Linked DNA regions of Struthio camelus. The protein of the gene in region 1 interacts with the protein of each later gene in a pairwise test. Links are inferred from orthologs where the notes say so. Each region holds a gene or a part of one and is shown in the gene's direction. Other genes may lie near its edges.

Region 1 (7,068 bases):
AAATAGCTGGTAAAACTAAAACGCTGACTGTAAGAATGCGTCCTTTGTTCCAGAGCTTGCTCTGTCGATGAGAGCTCTTGGTAGGTGACCAAATTAATATTGCAGCTTTCTTGTCCACACTTCTTTTGCTGACTTGGCTGCTCTAATCAGATTCAGTAATGGGTCAGGGAAGGGTTTGCACCTGACCATGTGGTTTCTGGCACATCTAATTTGCTACAGAATGGTTTCCAGTCCTACAAGGAACAAATATTCCATGAACCAGCTTATTCCAGATGTTCCAAGAGTGACTGAAAGTGCAGGAAAAAGCAAGCCAGACTTTATTTTGGCTTCCATGCAGCAAAGTGACTCCAGTTGCTCACAAACTGTGCTGAATCTGAGCTCAAGCACATGCTTTTAGCAGTCACAGAGGGGACTTAATGCAGCTTCTCCAGCACCATGCTAGATCTGGCCTTGGACTTCTTCTTCTCCCCGGAAGATGTAAATAGGCTCTAAAATTCCCATGGGATTTTCAGGCCTTCCTTATGTCACTTTGTTACTGGGACCAAATTTCACCCAACGTAAAGCCAAGGGGGACAGAACCCCCTGAACTTCATTGGTGGTGAAAGGAAGGGCACAATGTTGCCTAGGTGGAAGATATCATGAAGTAATTCTCAATTGTTTAGTCATTATTTTTAGGTAATTAGTTACAGGCCTACACCTGCAGGGTGCTCACTGCCTTAAACAACCTGTTACCTCTGATTGCTCACCTGAGCAAAGTTCACAAACAGGTACCTGCTTGTGAGGCCAGCAGCATCCTCAGCTGACTTTTCACATGTTCTTAAAGTGGCAAATCATAGGTATTACCCAAGCCAGTTCTGCTCTCCATCGGGGTTAAATAACCTCCCGCCGGGTAAATAAGGACTTCCAGAGTGGGCCTTTGCTCACCCAAAAGGCAGACTGGGACCATTTATGCCTTCATCTGTTTTGCATGATGCCTGCATAGTGCCAAGGCGACACCCGGCTCTTTGCAGACAGTCCCTTTGCCTTTCAGAACTGCCCGGCGTGGGAAGCAAAGCCCGCTGGCACACGGCCAAGCATCCAGAAGCTGCCTCAACTTTCACAGGTTTCCATTTTGGGACCGCACAGCTCAAGACACCATGAGCTGGTTTTTTTTTTTCTTCCTCCAGAGCTTTTGATGGTAACTGGAGTTTTCCTCTTGGAGGCCCAAGAGGCCCTTAAACAAGGTAATCAGTGATAAAAATACACATAAAAACAATCCCAAGGCATTTGAAGGTAGGTGCCTTCTGAAGAGCCTGGCCCTTCTGAATGGAAAGTGTATGCTTGCCCTTTGCACCTCCCAAAGCATTTTCACTTCTCCTGTGCAAGGAAGCTCTCTGTATAGGGATGTCAGCAGAGCAGAAGTAGTCATGTATTTGTTAGAATAAATAAGGCCTGAACTCGGGAGCTGCTGAACAGCCTCGTTTCTGAGTGATTTCAGCAAGCTCTGGGGCTTTCCAGGACTGGGTTGTAGAGGGGGAAATCAGAGCTCGGAAATCACCTTCCTGGATGCAGCTTCTTTCACTGCTTGGAGGTGCTCTCCCTTGCTTTTGCTGTGCTTAACTCCAGCCCACCTCACTCAGCATTTCCCTGGGCAGGTTTCAGGCCATCTCTCCCACTTTAAAGGGTAAATATTTTTTTACAGTTCCCGTACAGTTGCAAGGTGAAGAACATTTTCTGGGCATGAATCATTTATGAAGCCCTCCCAGGCACACCAGCCATTGTGCATATTCATCAGGCAGCCGGTACATTATTCATGAGATGTTCACTTAAACAGGAAGAGAACAATGATATTGTTGATTGAGATGCCTGAAAATGAGCTTGATAAAGAAGGTTCTGCCCTCAAACTCTGACCAAAATGCAGATAGAAAGTTTAGCAAAAAATCAGGAAAGAAAGGGGGGTTGGTTTTCTTTTTTTTTTTGGGCTCCTTTTATTGCAATCCATATGGATTTTTTTAAACTCATTTCCAAGAAGGAAGACTTTACACATAGAAACTACTAGGGAATTGCATCATACCTTCTCCATACACAGCTCCAGACTTGTGACTGCACCTTCTGCTGGTGGATCTTGGGCAGGGGATCGTGACAACAGGTCTGTACATAGCAGCTGATCCATACCTCGCTGAAGAGCTTTACTTTTGCTCCTGTTATGTCTGAAGTCCCACGATGACAGCATGATCCAAACCCTATCGAGCAATCTGCAACAGATTTTTATAACAGTATTTAGACCCTAAGCTCATACCAAAGTCCTTAAAGGACAGGCTACAATTGGGGAAGTCTCTTAAGGTTAGATCACAAGCGCTGATTCAGCTGACAGGTGCTCAGGGCAAACGCACCAAGGGGGTGGGAACTGCCCACTTCTGCAAAAGTGGGCCTAATTTCAAGGCAAGAGGGTGCTTGAACCAAAGACCTGTTATTTCCATAAATGTACTGCTGTGCTATTGCTGGATGAAGGGGAGCAGCAGGGCCGAAGCCCAAGAAACGCACTCTTCCTCCTGCATCTTTACCTTCAACTTCTTAGCAACGTTTTGGCTACGTTCATGGCGAGAAGGGCACATTACAGTCTCTCCAGGAAGGAGCCTGTTCTTTAACGCAGGCAAGAGGCGCTCTGTGCCCTCCCCACGCGCTGGGGGAGGGCACACCAACGCCGATGGGTCCCATTGCAGGATGCTGCCGTCCGAAAGGAAGGTCTCTGGGGCAGCTGTGGGCTCACTGCCACAGGGAAGCAGAAAATGGGGTCTGAGGAAGGACTTGGGGTCTTTAACAACAGCCCCAAGCATACGGTTTAGAAGAACTAACATAACCTGGAGCTCAGGTTGCAGTAACCAACAAAGCCCTCACTGTGCTAACGAGCAGCTCTGCCCACTGATGCTTCACACAGTCCTTAAAGGCTTAATTAAGCTTAACAATATTTGGAGGTTACCAACCATTTCCATTGATCTTTTATGCATGAACTCGAAGGTGGCTTCTTGAGTTGCGTCTAATCCCAGAGGAAGCAGGGAGAGCGCCAGGGGCTCTTCCCCCTCCGTTTCCTCGGTGCCACCCCAGCCCTGCGAAGGCTCTTGCTGGACAGCGCAGGCAGCTGGGCCAGGCTGGGTCCTGCCAGGGACCCCTCAGTGCCCCTAGGCCCTGCAAAGGGACCTCCCTCACCCCCACACCCTGCTTAGGGACCCCCCCCTCCCACCCCCAGACCCTGCCTGAGACCCCCACCATTACTCTAGGCCCTACCTGGGGATCCCTCCCTCCTTGCTAGGCCCTGCTTTGGAGTCCCCCTTCCCTCAGGGCCTGCTTGGGGACCTCACAACTACTCTAGGCCCTGCTTGGAGACCCCTCCCTGTACATGAGGCCCTTCTTAGGGTGCTCCCCCTCCCAACCCTTGGGCCTGCCTGGGGATACCCCTCCCTACTAGCTCTTGATTCAGGGTCCCCTATCCCCCAGGTCCTCTTCAGGGGGCACCAAAACTACTTTAGGCCCCACCTGGCTCCATACTAGGCCCTGTTTAGGGCCCCCCCCTTTGCCCTGGGGCCTGAACTGAGGACCCCAAAACTACTCTGGGCCCTGCCTAGGGAACCTCTCCCTCCCTGCTAGGCCCTGTGTAGGCTCTCCCCTCACCTATGGGGCCTGGCTGCCCCCCCCCCATGCTTTTAGGACCTAGTTAGAGGCCTCTCTCCCCCCCCAACCCCTATTTGGGGCCCCCCTACTACTCTAGGCCCTACCTGCCCCCCCCCCCCCAACTGCTCTTAGCCCCTTATAGGCCACTCAGGCCCCAGGCCCCTGCTCTTAGACCCTGCCTGGGGCCTTCTCCCTCTCTCCAGGCCCCACTCAGGCCGACTGCTTTTAGGGGCGCCACCCCCCGCCCAGGGGGCGGTGCTCCGCCGAGCACCGCCCCCTCGCCCCGAAGCCGACGGCCCCTTTAAGAGCACAGGCCCCGCCCCTCGTGCGTGATGACGCAGAGGCGCAGCGCGGCGCTAGCGCCCGCCCCCGCCTCCCCCCCGGCCCCGCCCCCTTCCCTCCCTCCCCCCGCGCGGGCCCTGCCCCCTCCCTCAGCGCCGCAGTGACAACAAGGAGGAAGCGCGCGGCAGAGCGGGCAGAGCGGGAGCCGCCGCCGCCACCGCCGCCGCCACCGCCAGCGCCGCCCCGGCCTCCCCCCGCCGCCGCCGCCGCCGCCGCCATGAACAGCAAAGGCAAGGCCCCGGCAGCGCGAGGCCCCGCCCCCCGCCCGGACGCGGGGGCCCCGCCGCGACGCGCCCACCTTCCCCCCCCCCCCCCCGGGCATCGACTCGACTCCCGGCAGGTCCTCGCCCTCCCCCCGCCCCCCCCGCCCCGGCCCGCTCCGGGGCGCGGCGCCTTTAAGGGCCGCGCCGCAGCGCGTGACGCCGCGGCCGGGCCGGGGCTGCGCGGGCGCCGCTCGGCCAATGGGAGCGAGGGGTGGGCGCGCGCGCGGGTCGCCATGGCGCCGCGCGCCTCGGCCCGGCCCTTAACCCTGTGGCTGCCGCGCGCCTCGGGCGGGGCGGGGCGAGGCGGGACCCCGCCCCCCGCGGGTGACGTGTGCGTAGGGAGCGGAGTCCCCCCTCCCCCCGCCCCGGTCACGTGGGAGGGGGGAGCTGCGGTAGGGGGACCCCCCCCGATGACGTAGCGGCGATCCCCCCCGGATGACGTCAGGGGGACCCCATTAGGCGTCGGGGGGAGCTGGAGTGGGGGACCCCCCCCGGATGACGTCAGAGAGACCCCATTATATGTTGATGTGGAACTGGAGCAGAGGGACCCCCGAGGTGACAGAGGGGACCCCCGATGATGTAAGAGGACCCACTGGGGGCAGGGGGACCCCCTGGGTGACAGAGGGGACCCCCGATGATGTAAGGTGACCCTATTGGGGGCAGGGGGACCCCCTGGATGACATAGGGGCCTCTGATGATTTAAGGGGACCCCACTGGGGGCAGGGGGACCCCCTAGGTGGCATAGGGGGACCCTCAATGATATAAGGGGACCCCCCTGGGTGACATAGGGGACCCCCAATGATGTAAGGTGACCCTATTGGGGGCAGGGGGACCCCCTGGATGACATAGGGACCTCTTAATGATGTAAGGTGACCCCATTGGGGAGGGGGGGCCTGGAGCAGGGGGACCCCCTGAGTGACATAGGGGAACCTATGATGATGTAAGGGGCCCCATTGGGGGCAGGGGGACCCCCTGGGTGACATAAAGTCCTCCTGATGATGACCCCGTTGGGGGCAGGGGGCTGGAGCAGGGGGACCCCCTGGGTGACCTAGGGGACCCTGCAATGATGTAGGGGGAGCTGGTGTAGCAGGATCCCCTGGATGACATAAGGGACCCCCGGATGAGGTAAGAGGCCCCCATTGGGTTTAGGGGATGCAGGAATGGGACCCCCCCCCCAAATGATATAGGGGACCCCCCGGTGACAGGGGGGATCATTCTGGTGATGGGGGGCTCCCCCTGGGGGGGAACCCACTGGGGTAGGGGAGACCCCCCCCCCACCTACCATGCAAAGGGGTGACCCCTCACCCTCGGGGGACAGCATAGGGAGCGGGACCCCCCCCGGGGTGGGGGGGCACCCGCGGGACCCCCCCCCCGGCCGGCTCCCGCAGGACGCGGCGGCGAAAGGGCGCTGCTAAGCGCTCCGGCCCAACCTGACTCACGCTCCCGAGGCGCCTTCCAAGTCTCCGCTCCTGCGAGGGAGCCGAGATGTCCGCAGGGCCGCGCTTCGGCCCTGGCCTGACCGTGCCACGGCAAAGCTCCCCGCTCGCCCCTTCCTCCCTCCCTGCACCCAAACGCACGCACAGGGGTTTTTTTTTTTTTTGCTTTTTTGTTTGTTTGTTTGTTTTTTTCGCTCCCAACCGCTGTGCCGGCTTGGGGAGAAGAACGCCTTCGGAGCTCGGACCGTAGCACCAGTTGCTCTTTGAACCGTGTTGGCAACCTCCGGATGCGACAGAGCAATTAAATGCAATTCCCTAACAGTCTTCACTTAAAGATTAACTCTGTTCTGAAACCGCTTAGGTTGGCAGGTGAAAGACATGTCACGGAGACATGATCTTTGTTCTGCTCCAGCTTAAAAGGCCCAGGGGTGGCAGGTATCGTCTCCGCGTCAGATCTGGTTTGTTTTGCTGGCAGTACAAAGCGCGTTGCACCCTTTCTCTTCAGTACGAGCCAAACGCAGCACTTGTTTCTCGGGATGGGAGGCAGACGGAGGGACGGGTCTTGCGTTATAAAACGTTAAGATCGCCAAGAGATGCTCCCTGGAAGCCTCGCTGGTGGCGACGCGCTAGGAGCTTCAAAGAGAAACCCGATCTCGGGGCGGTGTCGTTCCCGCATCGCCCCAAATCTGAGGCTGCGAGTCGACTGGAGAGTTCGCGAGTCCGAGCGCGAGCGGCGACCGGGGACGACGCCGTTGGGTTGACTCCCTTCGCCAGGCTTCCTGCCCTTTTCGGGAGCCTGATTCCTGGAAAGGATTTTCACTCTCCGTTTGGCTATTAGGCCCCGACTGAAACGCCTCTAATTCATTGTGTGCAGACGCTCCTAGATCCGTTACTCTGCTCACGTGAGAATTGAAAAGAGGGGCTTTCCGCAAACTCAGCAGTTTCCTGCCCAGCTTCGCGGAGCGTTTTCTGACTCTGGCTGAATTCTTTTCTTCCTTGCAGGACAATATCCCACCCAGCCGTCCTACCCGGTCCAGTCTCCGGGCAATCCTCCCGTGTACCCACAGACTATGGCCCTTCCTCAGCCGCCGCCATACACGGACGCACCTCCTGCTTATTCTGAGGTACGCAGGATCCTTCTCCTAAGGTTTATTTTATTCTGGGGCCCCTCCAAAAGAGAAAACTCTTCCAGGAGGTTTTTAGCTGCAGGGATTTTCTTAGCCTGGAAGATTTGTTTGCTGTTCGTATCGCTGGGCAGCAGTCGGTCCCCACAGTCTCTCGCATGAGACCCGAATCATCCACTTGAAGCGACAAACACTGTTCAGCTTCCCCTTGAGTTAAGATGACAAATTTAGCCAACCTGTAGATTTAAAATACAT
Region 2 (7,600 bases), on another chromosome or scaffold:
ATTTTCATAATTGTTCTTTCCTTAAGACAAGGTAATTTTGTCTTTCAGGGCTACCTGTCAGGAGTCCCATTAGGCGCTGGCTGCCCCCCTCTCGTGCTCAACAGCCCTCCTGGGTTAGGATACTGAAAACAGGTAGTACGTTTTCTTAAATTTGTGATAAAAGACGATGCTAGTGAATGTTTACATACCACCTTCATTTTTATATTTGAGGAATTTAAATGGATCGCAGGATCCCAAAGTTTATCCTAAATTATGGATAGCACAATGTACTAGCTAGTCAGCGGGGCACGCTGTAGTACCGCACGCTGAAGGACAGCCAAAGGTATGTTGCAAAGTGGAGAGCAATGACACGTCAGGTTTATCTACGTTTCAGTAGGGCATTTTCATAAGAGCTACTGTTTAATACTTGATAATGTGGTTTCACAAAATGATGGTTTCAACAGCAGATTGGCTTGTGGGGGGGCAGTTCCTGACCATATAGTCTCTTCTCACCATCCCATAAAGTGCCTCCTTTTAAAGTTTCTTTTTCTTTCCTTCATACTACTGATAACTCAGATATGACCTACTTATTTACCTTTATTTCTTAATTTCTTTGCTCCCAGTTGCCCCTTTTGCTCTGACTGTGATTTTATATTGCTAGTTTCTAGAGATAGTATTTCTATACCTCTTTTCACTTTTTTTTTTCTTTTTTGCTGGAACCATCTCTCTCAGCTATCTGCAAGGCCTCCTCAGAAGAGTTAGCCAAATTCTTGGTATCAAATGGTTCAATTTTTTGAAGGACAGATAAAATACTCAGTAGTCTACTTTAAATTTAAAGAATTGCAAACAGTTACAAGGTTATGTTTAGAGAATAGAAGTGTTATAGAAGAAGTGTTCCTTCTAGCTGATTATAAATTTTTCAAGAAAACATATCTGTATTTGTAAATTTGGGACTTTGTTGATCTCTCTCTACTGTTTCTGTTTTCATTTCTGGGACACAATGAGCAATTGAGTAGTGTCTCGTTTTTCAGATATTACTGGCTTTGAAACAGTTATGAAATCAAAATACACAAATGTATAGCAAAGAATGTATTTTGCAGCAGGCAAACAATTTTTTTCCCCTAAGTTCTTATACGTATTCTTATTACTCCTCTTCATGAAAGTTTAGAGGAGAAAAGATACCAGTGCAAAGACCTTTCGCACAGCTTTGCTGCTGCTGTTCTTGCAACAGTTACTTTTCTCGCTGTCCACTATCTTTAAAGATTCCGCAAATTAGGTTTTCATTTTGACTTATCACAAGACACAGAGACTGTAGCCATAATTTTAGGGTATTGATTTTTTTTTCCCCTCTGAATTACTTTAGGTGACCTTCATCCACTTTGACGGAACATTTTGACCTGCCTTGTGTACCCAAGGTACCCAAGGCCTTAATGATTTGAACACTTAGACAGAGAAGACACCTAAGATCATGTTCCCCTCAATGTCCTCCACATACACTGTCTACACAACATTTGTAAAGACTGGACGCCGGTAGGCACAAATCTAATGTCAAATCTGGGATAGCTATGAATCAATTTAGAATTTTGAATATATTTGAGTAATAATGCCTAAAGAAAAGCCTAGACTGATTGACGCTGGATCTTCAAGAATTTTCATGCTGAGAGCTGTGCAGTTGGACACACTAATTGATGTCTTCCATCTGAAAATCTCAACAGAAAACTTGAAATGGTGCACAGTTAAATGCCAAATGAGTCTACCTCATCGTTAAGGCAAAAACAGGGGTTTAAAGATGTTCAACTGGATAAATTATTAGTCTAAAAGAATGTTTTATAGCTTTCATTTTCCTTAGTTAATTGGAATTGTTAATATTCAAATTGTTAAAGCTACTGAAAAATACCCAGCGTTTTTAATTATGTCTGTATTTTATTAGAGTCAAATCCTGACAGCTACTGTGCCCCCATCTTTCTTGGAGAAGCTGTCTTGATTGGTGCTTGCTTTCTTACTGTAAGTGTCTAATTCATGCTCTAGAACCTTTAAGCCCTGAATTCTCTTCATCTGTAACTTCAAGGTATATAGATACAATGTGATCCAAGGTGAATGGCAGTACCTTTGCTGCAGAGATATTCAAAGGTGTGGGATCTGGTGAAGATAATTTCATTTTTTGCACTACCTAGGTGATGGGCTTATATTTAATGTGGTATGAAATACTTCATGTTTCAGAGTCATGCTACACTCTATGAAGTCCTTGACATTTTGATCAATGTATTTTAAGAATTAGCTAGCTAGTCCTTAATACAGAAGGAGCAGGCTTTTTATTTCTTGTGAAAACATCACGCTTTTTTGTTTCTACTAATCCATCAGACAGGATGATCTTCATAGATAATAGAGCTTGTCTGAAAGCAGTCCTAAGCCTTGTGTAGTGGGAATGGATAATGAAAGAAAGGGATAGCAACAGCCCGCAGATGGAAACATCAGAAGTGTGTTTTGCTACTGTAGATGCCATATTTAGACCCTTATTGACAGAACAGAACTATTCTTTGCTCTATTTTATAATTCTGCTGTCCTGAAAATAAGGTTTGCATAATGTATCTCCTTAGTTTTTTACCTGCACCTGATACAGGTAAATGAATGCATGTAACAATATCCAAGAGTTCTGAAGAATAAAAGGCATGACTTTTAAGCGTTTGAACAGCAATTCAGAAGTGCCTAATAGCTTTTTTTGATCAAAATCATTGAAGAAACTAGCAGAAGAATTCACTATTAAATTTAAAATTTAAGAAAATATCTTGTTAGTCTCTGAAATGAGGATTCTCATTTCAGAGAATCCTGCTTTTATACAAGATAAATTCTAAAAAGTGACATTTAAAGAAATCTCTCTGCAAGGCAATCCTCTTGAGTGTTATATTACTTTCTCTGTAACCCAGGAACATTTTGTGATTATCAGGAATAAGCATTGCATGAGTCTACGATGACCCTTATAAAATCAGGCATTTCCGTTTTAGATTCATCACTAATCTATGTAATGTTGATGTTGATTGCATCTCTGATAATCTTTAACCTGAAAATATTTTGAATGCAAAACATATTTTATTAGTAAAGTAACTCTCTTCATAAAAAACTGAGCTGTAAGGGAAGGGTTTAGCATTTCCCATGATCCAACAACAAATCTACCAACAAATGAGGTACTTCTGTGAAATGTAACTTTATGCCTGTCGTCTTGAAAAGTATGGTAAATTTTACTTAACAGAAACCTTGATGAGCCTTTGCTTTTAGGTGGTAGAGTGCAAAACATAGCAGTGTGTGACGGTTGCAGAGCAATCCTCTCCTGGGACAAAAACCCTAGTTGCACAGGTGAGAGGCCTACTGAGAGTCTTTGCTGACTTTCTTCTCAGGGCTCCCTGTTCCCTTCATCACTATATCGGTCCACTCTATTATAGATTAAGGATGGTGAGTAGCTCTGTAGAGCCTATGTGGAAGCAGGAAAGTGCAGTAAATTTGGGACCACCTGCAGACTGTATTTGTACACAGTTTGGAAGGCAGACATGTTGTGGGTCCTTCTTGGATTTGAGGTTGTAAGGTTAAATTTATTATCAAAAAAGTGAAGAAATGAATAGGTGTCTCCAGTCCTAATTCCAGTTCTCACATCACGTATGTCTGCATAGCAACATGAAATTGTCCCTTTTTGTAAGACTCACTCCCAAGGTAGCCTTTTAGAGGCAGATGTTTTCAAAATAAAGCAGCTTTAGAAGTTATAGAAACTTTTAGAAAGTTTGGACCTTTTCAGACTTAAAGACAGTGTTTCTTTAAGAATATGAATCCGTTGTACTGCATCTTTATTTCTCCAGTTAATACCCTTATATTAAAAAGAAATATTATGTAGTATCAGACATCAAAATAAAAAATAAGGCAATCATTTCCTCAGCTGACCTGTTTTCAGAAAATCTTTCAGAAACAGGGCATCAGCGGAAGTACCAATCAAAGGTTTTTTCTTCTATTGTCACGTGTTTTCAAGAAACCAGGTGTTGTTAGCGAATGTTTAGATTGTACGGGAAGCTGCTTTTCACACAGGAGAAGGTGATAGTGTAAAGATTATAGGAAGGCTGAGATATTTGCTTAGGATTATCCTTTATGGTGAATAATCATTTGATAGTACATATAAAAGTTAATATTTACATGGGCAAGTTTGACTCCCCATACCTCCTCCACGAAATACCGTAGTGATCTGAATTTTAGAAGTTATACGGAGTTAGCAGTGACGTTACCACCTTAAACCGCAAGAAAACCTTGCAAGAAACACTGCTCATCACTTAAATGCTTGACCCTATGTCCCGCTGCCATGAGACAGTCGAAGACGGCAGCTGAATGAGGCGACGGCGTCTCTTCGTGGGGCTCCCAGTGCCGCCAGGGATGTCGGAGCTGTTTGCAGCGGGGGGAGATGACGGAGGAGGACTAGGCGGAAATCTGCGGGCAGTGCTCGGTCGAAAGTCGCTCGTAAATATGATTTCATACTGGCAGGGGGAGAACGGGCCGCTCCCCGCCCGCTGCCGCGGCTCGGCGGGGCGGCCCCCTCGGGGCGGCTCGGGGCGGCCCGGCACCGCCCGGCCCCCCCGCCCGCCGCGGCTGCCTCTTAGGGCCGGACCGGGCCGCGGCGCTGGGCGGCTCGAGCCGGGGTTGGTGCGGCGTGGCGGCTCGCTCGGGGTGAGGGCGGCGGGAGAGCGGCTCCTCTTCCTCGGGGACGGGTATTTTGGCTGAGAACGTAAGGATCTGTGTACCGTGTGTGTCGCCTTCTAGGCGGTCCTCTGAGTTGTCTCTCCTCGTTTCCTCCCAGCACTGCTTAATGGTTAGGTAGGCTGCAAAAGGGGTTTGATGTTTGCTAGTCGGTGACTGAGAGTGAAGCTAAAAACGCGTCTCCTTAGCAACGGTTACTTGCCAGAGCTGTCAAAATAACACTGTGGTTCGCAAAGAGGAGCTTATGCGGAGGCTTGCCTAGCGAGCGCCGTGCCAGGCTGCGCTGCGAGTCGGACTGCGGTACGGCTGTTGCGCCGGGCGCCTGCCAGCCCCCTCCGAGATCGGCCCTCGCCGCTGGCAGCCTGCGTGCCCCGGCCTCTGCGTGATCTGCTGCCGGGTGGGTTTTTTCCCTGCTCTCGGGTGTTGTGACCCCCAGGTTTTGGGGGAGATGTCTTTGTGAGGGGAGGGGGTACCTCGCTGCACCAGAACAAAATAACTTTATATCAACTTATAGTTCGTTTTGTTCCTTCTTGGAAACTGTTTGTTAAATTTAACAAACAAATATCTGTTTTGTTAGATTAACTTGATTTCTAAGATGTTGTTTCACAAGCAGTCAAGGTTAAATAAAATCCAATGGCTAATGTGATGGGTGTGACGAAAAGAAGTGCCTTACAGCTATTTGGCTCTGTAAGTGTGTTCTCCCAGTCGTGAACCTTCTCGGGAATGGCCCTGTGTTGGTATTTAAATGACTGAGCGTGACGTTTGTACTTGTGCAGCTTACGTTCATATGCTCGTGGTACTGTTTTAGTGACTTGAATGAGAACGGTAACTGTTCGTCATAAATGAAACCAATGTGCTTTTTTTGATAACGGAGTGGAAGCTCTGTAGTTAACTTCATGAAGACATACCTAATTTCTCTGCTAATTACCACATATCTACTGACATGCAACAGGATAAGAGAGATCTAGAAACTGAAGCAGTGTCATGCAGCTCTGAAAATGAGAAAACAACTGAGAAAGAGTCTGCCATTCCTTAAAAAGAAAGGAAAAAAAAAACAGGGGGAAGGGGGGACAGTCTAGGAACGTTATTTCCTTACTATTCTGTAAACTGGAACTGTTCTGTTATGATTTCCTTTAGAGATGGTATTTCCTCCGCTTCCTTTCCAAAAGTTTTTGGCTGTTTTTAGGTGCCTAGGCTCAACCCCCACTGGATGGGGAAGAGCACCGTGCTCTGGGCATCTGCATCCATCTAATGGTTACTTCTGTGTTGCCCCTTTGAATAACAATTCTGCCAGGCCAGGAAGATAAGGAACTGGCCAGCTATGCTAGTGTTAAGTGAAAGGTTTTAGGCTGTCTATGGAAATGAGTGCAGATTCTGAGAGCAAAGAGAAGAGTTTAGGAACTCTTATGGATGAGGAGGAAGAAATGGCAATACTAGCCCTGGATACCTAACGCGTAGAGGGATATGAGGAAATGAGACTTCTTGATTTTAGTTTCTTTCTCCTGTAAGTAGCACAGCATATGAAGCATGTGGGTCTTGGATTGACGACAGCTTGCTGACCTGCAGCTGAACCGCTGTCCTTGACAGTTGGAGGGCTGCGTATGTGTGGTTTCTTTAGTTTCCTTTCTGCACTGCAGTAATTGAAGTCGGAAGTCACACTGCAGGGTTAAATTGGTGTTTTTCATGACAGTTAGCTTTGCAGCTTACGCTGGAAGTTGCTGCCCTTCTCAATCTCATTTTGTAGGCGTAGCGGAGGAAGCAGGGAGGCCTCACAAGATTCAGAGGCCATATTTCATAATTGTAGTTAACAGACAGCTGCTTTGCATCAATTGTCCCCAGAGCCCTCAATGCTTCCTTCTTGCTAGCAAAATCACTTCTGCTTTTGCCTGCTATGTCCCCTCCTCCAGGGAAAAGAGGATATATTTCTCTTGCCTATGTTCTCTTCAAGATAGTGGACTCAGAGCTATGAATTATTGTGTGAATTTCGGTCAGAAAAGGGCAAAACTGAACAGAGCATTTAGGATTTTCCTGGTATCTGCTCTCATGCGTAGCCCTGCAGTGAAGCACCTGCAGCAGCTCTTTAAGCAGCCCGTTAGTGGGTCAGCGTCAGCGAGGCTCTGCTCTCTCCACCCTCCTTGCCTGCCCACGCGCACTTCAGCTGGGGGCAGGTGTTCCCCATGTTTATTGAAAAATTGCTGCTAGAACTAGGAAGACCGACCTGTTTGTAAAGTCTCTTTTCACTAAACTGTCTGCTAGATGAAACTGTAGACTTCAAATTATTGGTCTTGCATGGCTTTGTGTCGCTGAGGCAGCTGAAACCAGCACATTTCTAAAGCAACCAGTCTGCCTGTTGTCTGCCTATGTTTTCTTGACCGTAAGTTTCAGCAGATGGGAATTTCCCCTCCTGTAATAGCCTGCCCGAGGAAGATATTGCATAATACAAGGACTGGAAAAAAATGAGCTTTCATTCCTCCTCCTTTTGGTTCTTCAGAATATTTTATTGTTTCACAAGCTTTATTGATTATCTGCGAGAAGAGCAGAGTGTTGCTGGTATTGTTTGTTACTCTTGGCAACTGAATTGGAGGCAGCAAAAGGAGTCAAGGTGAAAGCAGCAAGCAGAAGCAGCAAATATTTTTATTAAAAGTAATCTTAACTCTTCAGCGACTTTTCTGATAACATGGGAGCCGAACTTTGTAAAAGCTTTGTTCCTCTTCTGGGCTGTGTATCACAATAGTTTCTAAACCAGATTCCACAGAGAAGTCTGTGTGTCTTTGTGGGAGAAAGATGATGATTCTGGGCCTTTCTCTTAAATAAATCATATGATTTATTTCTGTCTCTACTTTCCCAGGTTTATCGAAGGGTGCAGCTGTAATTCTTCATATTTCACTGGCGT
Region 3 (7,264 bases), on another chromosome or scaffold:
CTTCTGAGCATTCTCTCTCAGGGGGTTGTTTGTGTCTGCATCCATTACAACATACTTACAGATTTAACTTAATGAAAGTTATGTTAACTTATGTAACTTAATGATTCAGTATAAAATGTCTTGATGCAATTTCAGGAAGAAGAAGCGAGCAATTGTTATGATGGTGACAGTGGTGTTTCTCTTTGCAGTCTGCTGGGCCCCTTTCCATGTGATTCATATGATGATAGAATACAGTGAGTATCTGCCATGTGTCATGCAATAAAGTCTTTTTTAGGTTTTTTTGCAATAATGGAACCACAGATTGTGAAATGCTAGTGCTGCTGCAGCATTCAGCTATAATGTACCTTCTGCTAGCAAAGGTTAACGTTGTGCTTATAAATCCTGGATCACTGTCTTGTAATAGAGATACATAATCAACAGCAGATGAATTACTCTGAAGTCTATGAGTGACAGACAGATCTACAGTGCTCACAGAAAACGTAAGTACATTTCAAAAACCTCTTATTAGCTGTAGTGTTTGAGAGCGTAATATATCTGAGAAATCCTTGTATCAGCCCCGTCTTCTCTTCCCTGCTGTAGCACTAAAGATCTGTGTCTTGCTATAAACTGTGCTAGACTTTGTGGAGGGGGTGGGGAGAGGGCACTGTGTCTCCCTCCTCCTGTGTAGGTGCAGTGATAGCAGGTGGGACTGTGCAGTTTGCCGTGTGTAGGAACACTGAATTATTCAGTACCAGTTGTGCTCTACTTGCCAAACGCAACAGTTAATCTCTTTTCTCTCTGTTGCGGAAAAGGGCATAGCAGATAAGTCAGTAGTGCTACAGCCAGTCAGCTGAAGCAAGTGGTGTTTGTGCCTGGGCAGAGCCAGAAATGCTTAAGCTGTAACTTTCAAAAATTATCTGGATTGCCCCCTATTGAGATTGCCCTGAACTGTTCTGTGTAACACTTCACTCTCTTTCCACTGTTAATTTCAGGGATTGTTTCCACTGCTACAAGGCCTTGTTTAACTTGCCATATAAACCCTTGTGCAGTGTCTTCCAAAGCTGCTTAGCCAAGTATTTGAATTCAAGAAATTCAGAGAATTCTGTGATATCAAGTAATTAAAATGTGAGCTATCACCAGGAAGATGCATTTTTACTCTATGAACTCGTCTGTATCAGCACAAAGAAAGAAGCTGCATATGGTCAGTGAAAAGACGGGGATTAGTGTTATCGTGGTAGAGTACTTGAAAATTTCTCATGAATGTGAGACGCAGAGTCAGAGCCTACACTCAGCAGACTGGAAGCTTTCTGTCACTTGGCCATTGGACAAGTTGTTTATTTGTTCATTTGTTTTTTTGCTCACGAGTTGTGTCCTTCAGACTACACTGTTCTTCCCTACATATATACAAAAGCAGGGCTATGTGGTAGGTCTTGATCTTTGCTGGCTAGTGAAATCCTATTGCTAAAATTACCAAGAAAGCACCTTGCTGGAGGTTACTAGACAAAAGCTTCTAATGCCAGATTGGGTGTAAATGGGCTTAGTAATGGGTATTTATACCATTCTATACCTACAGCATATTTCCTTTTTCATTTCCAGGTGACTTTGAAAAGGAGTATGATGATGTGACAGTCAAAATGATCTTTGCTATTGTCCAAATTATAGGATTTTTCAATTCTATTTGCAACCCTATTGTGTATGCTTTTATGAATGAAAACTTCAAGAAAAATTTTTTGTCTGCCATCTGCTTCTGCGTTGTCAAAGAAAACACATCACCAGCCAGGCAACTCGGGAACTTGGGGATTACTATGAGGCAGCAAAAGGCAAGTGCTTCTCTAAGAGATCCCACTGACTCAGATGAGGCCAGGAGGGAGGCATTCAGCGACGGCAACATAGAAGTCAAGTTCTGTGATCAGCCAGCTTCAAAAAGGAATTTGAAAAGGCACCTTACCTTATTCAGCTCTGACCTTACTGTGCATTCTGCGTTAAGAAGTGGACAGTAACATCACAAAGATTTTTAGAATGGAAAAAGCACTCCTTGTATTTGATAACTTTAAACAAACCATTTTAAATATTTTTTTCTACATTGTGTGCAAGGAGGGGAAAAATATTCTGTGGATTATGATAATGTCTGAATAATGGTTGAGAAACTAATTACTTTATAGATGAGGAATAAAAGTTTGGAAAACAGTATTACTGCATGATTTCCAGAAAAATATTTTTCTTCCTGAGGTAACATAGGACTTTTTTGCCCCCTGCTCTAGGTCAACCAAACAACTGCCGCTTGCTTTGTTTACTTTTTGTAAACCATGTTGAACCATACACAGTTGAAAGTAGATACACAGTTGCCAGAAGATATAAACTATGGAAAATATGCATGCTTCCTTTGGACAGCTTGGGAATCTCACCTGGGTCTGACATTGTGAGATCTACTATCTGCACGCCGAGGACAGAGAAACTTCAGATCTGAGTTTAAGAAAAATACAAACTGAGATGCAGTTCTATTTTGCAAAGTATATGAAGGAGCTAGCCAGAATTTGACTTTGAAGAGATGAAGATGTTTACATTGCATGTTTGCTCAGATTTTCTAAGCAGAAAGCATATTTGAAATTAATGTGTGCATAATTAATGTGCTATTTTTACAGGTTAATTCTCTGGGTACAAATACAAATGCAAGTGTACTGCCCTGTAAACAGCATTGTTCCTGCTGAAAAACGTAGAAGTTGAGAGTGCTATACAAATCGAGTGTCTGCAGATGCTAGAGGTGTGTTCTGTAGAGTAAGAAATGAATTTTACCTGAGGTTGTGTTTTAGATACATGGCTTATGGGTTAAATTAGTATTGTTGCCTTGTTCTGGAGGAATATAAGGACTAGCCCCAGAGCCTGATGGACTCGACAGACAACTTTCAATTTAGGACATGGTGTTTTGATCGGGCCCTTTGCTGCTGTCAAGCACAGATTTTTTTTTTCTTTTTTTTTTCCCCTCTGTTGTCTCTCCCTCACCTTCGAAGTAGATAAATCATTGTCTAAAAACAGGGCCAGTGTTCTATTATTTTTAGGCTTTCCAGCAAATTACAAGGCTGAAATCATATGAATTCTGAAAATTGTCAGCGAGCCAAACTGAAACTGTCAAAGATCCTTACAAATATAGGCCTGAGGAAAAAATGTGATCTAGAATGTTATATTGTGATCTGATCGTACAAATGGGGCTCTGAAATAATTTGAGATTCCAGCTGAGATTAGGCTGGATCCTTTAAGAACACGTTGTGATCGTTGGTGCTCTTTTCTGTCATCCCTTATTTCACCTCAGGGACCTTGATGCTCCCTTGGCAGTAACTTTTGAGATGCTTTCACATTGTCACTTCCAAAACTGTAAATGAAAATCTAGTTTGTTATGCTTGCATAAATTAGAAGTAATCTGGTCCTTCTGTAATGTTCATAAATTTCCATTGCATTAGGTATTCTGATGCTGATTTGTGATATATTCTTTATTTTAAATATATATTATTATTTATACTTTATCTCATATACTCTGACACAATGACAGGTTAAGATTCCTGACTTGTCTTGACAGCCAGAAATTGAGAGCACTTTAGTATATGTATTAGATAAAAACACCAATTTCAAAGAGGTATGTTTGGGTAAAATGTCATGAGTGAAATCAGGTTCTGCCTCAGACACTCAGGCAAACGTGCCTCTTTGCATTACCTTGATACTGCTGGTAAGCAACAGCAACAGTATTTGCCTGTGATTATAACTGTGGCTTCCTTCAGGGTCCAGCTCTTCGTTTCAGTCTTTCATCTTTCCCGAAAGAGGTCATCTAGTAAAATTTCTGCCATGTAGATTAGAGACTCAAACTGGCTTATTATCATCCTTTTCCTCAGTTGATGCAAAGTTTTCAGGCTCCTGATGAGAAGTATGTGTTTTAACAGATTCTGTAACTGAAAATCACTTTATTATGTTAAGCTCTTTATTTTTTTATTTGTACTGGTGATTTCAGTGACGGGTTTGAACAGCAAAGGTGACAGTTACTTTGTAAAACTTATGGGTGTTCTATGTCTTTGGGTTTTTTGTTTGTTTCTTCTGTTGTCTCATAAAATGTAACGTCAACAAGTGATTATTGTAGTATTTTTCATTAAAACTCCATTTTGATATTTATGGTGCTGTTTTAGACTGGAAGTGCATTCTATAAACGTCAATATTTCAGTATATTTTTATTTTAAAGATCAGCTTATTTGCACCTTTTTTTTTTTTTTTAGTGATTAAGTTTCAGTTCTGTTTCAGGTACCAGCTTCTACTGTCATCCTTACAGATGTGCTGTAGAGGACTTTTTACAGAAGAAGGTAATAGAGATCAAAAGTTCCAATATCTTGGTAGGAGAGAATTGGTAAGTGTTTCAGCAAAGGCAGAGTGATTAGATTTAGATTAAATATAAGCCAAACTACTTCAGACAATTGTCTTACATCTTAATAAGCTATTATCTTCAGTACATTTTTGACACAGTAGTTCTCTCAAAGCCAGAAAATCTTGTGAGAAATTCCAGCTGCAAGGAATAGAAGAACCTTTATTGACTTAAGCAGAATTTAGATTTTTGCCTATATGTGCATTTGTGTAGGTTTGTGTTTGGGGGAGTGTGTGTTTTATCAAAGCCTCAGCTTTGATTTAACTAACAAAACAACCTGTTGTATTGAATCAGGCCAATTTTCTGTCCAGACTGGTAGTCTGTCTCTTGCAGTGTCTCATGTGTTTCCAAGTGTTTGGCTGTTACTGAGTACTTCAAATCAGTGAAAGCTAACACTGCTATGGAAGGAACAGCCCTGCTCTCCTCCCCAGCTTGCCTGCTTCCTCCTCTCTTACACTGGTAGAATTGCATGATGAAGCAGATCAGAAGACTTTCTGGGTAAAGGCTAACCTGTGAACAGAAAAGATTAATTTTAACCAATCTATTTTCCCTAAGCTGAGAGTGTTTAATAAAACTATTGTGTTTTTTGAAAAAATGCTTCCCCCAAAATGTTTTTTTCTGATCTGCATTAGCTGCAGATCACTTAAATCATGAAGCAGTCTAAAGGACTGTAATTTCTTTGTGGTCCAAATTGAAGAGAAACTTTTCATATTCTCCGCTGTATAAGGTGCCTTACGGCTTATCAGCTTTAAAGCTACAATGAGATAATACCAGGAACTGGCATGTAAATGAAGATACAAGTCTGAAAGAACACATTCAGCTGAACAGAGACTCTAGAAATATGAGTGGATTGGGAAAAAGCATAGGACATGTGGTATTGCTATGGCTGATTCAGTTGCATTCAGACTGTATTGACATCATGAAGAACTGTGGGTAGAAGGAAATTAACCCTTCCAGTGACTGTGTCTGTAACAGGGTAACTGTTTAAAAAATTCTCTCCAAGAGAGGGAGGGTAAATATAATGTGAAATTACTTCCCAGCAGAAGCAACTCTTTTGCTCTTAACTTTTCTTTTTTGGGGGGAGTGGGAGGGAACAACGCAACATTAATTTCAGTGGCCATCAGATGGCTTTATTTGTGGGTATGTTTTTAACCTATAGAATTATGTTCTGGGCTGTAATACTTTGACAAATAGACAGGGAACTATGCTTTTATTTAAGACGCTTGATTCTATTATGGGCTAACACAGTGCTGTGCAGGCATAAAAAGTTTGAATCTGAATATAACGAACACCTGAATAGAGAGTTTGTAGTCCCTCGTAGCATTAGCAAGTTCTTCGTAAGACATTTGTGCTACTGAAAGAGGGGGGAACGTCTAGGTACGGATTAGATGTCCTTTTAAAGTTTCACGGAAGAGGAACTGAACGTGGTGCTTGCTTGTGTATTGTTTGGATGTGTAGTTAGCACTTGTGTGGAATAACAAACAAATTAAGTGCATAGTACATGCGCAGGAGAATGTGAGATCTATTTTAGAGGGGCTGATTAAATGTAGATGAAGGAGAGCCATAGCTTGAATTCTTTTTATTCGGGTTGCTAGATATCTGGACTCCACCATGCGTTGTTCGGTCACTAGTAGGCAAAGTTGTGTTTGTCAGCTATCAGGTAATTCTAACAGAGGAATCTGAGGACTGGATCGGGTGTTGAGCTGAGTTGTTTTTGGCTGGGCAAAGCTGTGTGAGTCTCATCCCTGAAGCAGACTCTGATATGCTAGGTTTCTGGCATGGAGCAAGAAACACTGTCTGGGATACTCGGTGAGCCAGCACTACTTAGAGACAGTGACAACTGCAGATCCTGGAAGAAGCAGCCAACAGCTGTTACCTCAAGTACAGCTTGTGGAGAATAGAAGGAAGGACAATATACTGTTTATACTTGTAGCTAGTCTTATTAGTATCTTTTTAAAATTGTTTACCTGATGCTTTACAAGCCGGTGGAGAGGTGTATTCCTTTTCTGGAAGACTTTGCAGTATGTGGACCTAATTCTACAAAGATATGCATGGAACCTTTTTCATACCTGCTAGCTTCTTTGGAACTGTACACCCATACAATGGTTCATCTCCAGGGCAATAGTTCAGGTAAAGGAAATCATAAAAAGCTGATGGGGAGGATTTATGTAACGCTATTTGGGAAGGAGGATCAAGTTGGCAGTAAGGCAGGGATTACTTATTTTTCAGCAGGATACCTCATGTAGTTAAGATGATGAAGGCAAAGAAAACCAAGTCCTCCAGTTTATTATTCCTTCTGGGTTTGCTCAAAGTTTAGTCAGATAAGTTTTGAATAGAGAAGGCTGTTTAATATTAAACTGTTGTATTGAATTCTGGTATTGGAGCTGCATTTAAAAATGGAGTAGGGGGCAGTAGGGTTTGAGGCATATGGGAGAAGAGCAAGAAGGAGAGGGCCTTTTAAGGGTTTCAGTTTCCTAGGGACCCACCCTGATGATGTGTAGAATCATGAGTTAGTTCTTAGTTGACTTCATCAAGATAATATTGTGGCTTTCTTCTGGTTGCTTTCTTTTGGGCAGAGCCACAGTTTTACGTTTAATACTTAAGTATAAAAAGAAATATTATCAGGTTTTGAATAACAGCTGATTCAATGCTTTGAACTTCATGAGTATCAGCTTCTTTGTTTAACAACAACAACAACAACCCCCCCCCCACAGTTTAGTACTTACCTTCCATTAAAGAGGGTGTTGCATCCTGAGGGCAGAGTCTGCACACTTGGAGATATGGATTATATAAGTCATGGCTGTACATCTTAACATATACTTTAATTAAGACAAAACAAAACATCCCAATTAGTATATTGGCTGTTAGGTTCTATTTGTGCTAAGT

What was found.
Region 2: the proteins of DAZAP2 (region 1) and phospholipid scramblase 1 interact in binary tests that used the Homo sapiens proteins (3 or more experiments, as listed by UniProt). The two-hybrid records come from large-scale screens. The link is inferred for Struthio camelus from reciprocal best matches to the Homo sapiens genes DAZAP2 and PLSCR1.
Region 3: the proteins of DAZAP2 (region 1) and TNIP3 interact in binary tests that used the Homo sapiens proteins (3 or more experiments, as listed by UniProt). The two-hybrid records come from large-scale screens. The link is inferred for Struthio camelus from reciprocal best matches to the Homo sapiens genes DAZAP2 and TNIP3.

Annotation. Positions count from the first base shown.
Region 1 is NC_090969.1:2,097,707-2,104,774, reverse strand, and holds the start of DAZAP2 (DAZ-associated protein 2), read left to right. Parts: upstream 1-4,067; 5' UTR 4,068-4,207; coding exon 4,208-4,220; intron 4,221-6,691; coding exon 6,692-6,813; intron 6,814-6,822; exon of another isoform or gene 6,823-7,049; intron 7,050-7,068. UniProt on the Homo sapiens protein: In unstressed cells, promotes SIAH1-mediated polyubiquitination and degradation of the serine/threonine-protein kinase HIPK2, probably by acting as a loading factor that potentiates complex formation between HIPK2 and ubiquitin ligase SIAH1.
Region 2 is NC_090950.1:16,852,203-16,859,802, reverse strand, and holds the start of phospholipid scramblase 1, read left to right. Parts: upstream 1-4,596; 5' UTR 4,597-4,735; exon of another isoform or gene 4,736-5,104; intron 5,105-5,193; exon of another isoform or gene 5,194-7,081; intron 7,082-7,555; 5' UTR 7,556-7,600. UniProt on the Homo sapiens protein: Catalyzes calcium-induced ATP-independent rapid bidirectional and non-specific movement of phospholipids (lipid scrambling or lipid flip-flop) between the inner and outer leaflet of the plasma membrane resulting in collapse of the phospholipid asymmetry which leads to phosphatidylserine externalization on the cell surface.
Region 3 is NC_090945.1:19,789,588-19,796,851, forward strand, and holds the start of TNIP3 (TNFAIP3-interacting protein 3), read left to right. Parts: upstream 1-4,260; 5' UTR 4,261-4,363; intron 4,364-7,264. Other genes in the region: QRFPR (pyroglutamylated RF-amide peptide receptor), read left to right, coding at 136-233, 1,576-1,979. UniProt on the Homo sapiens protein: Binds to zinc finger protein TNFAIP3 and inhibits NF-kappa-B activation induced by tumor necrosis factor, Toll-like receptor 4 (TLR4), interleukin-1 and 12-O-tetradecanoylphorbol-13-acetate.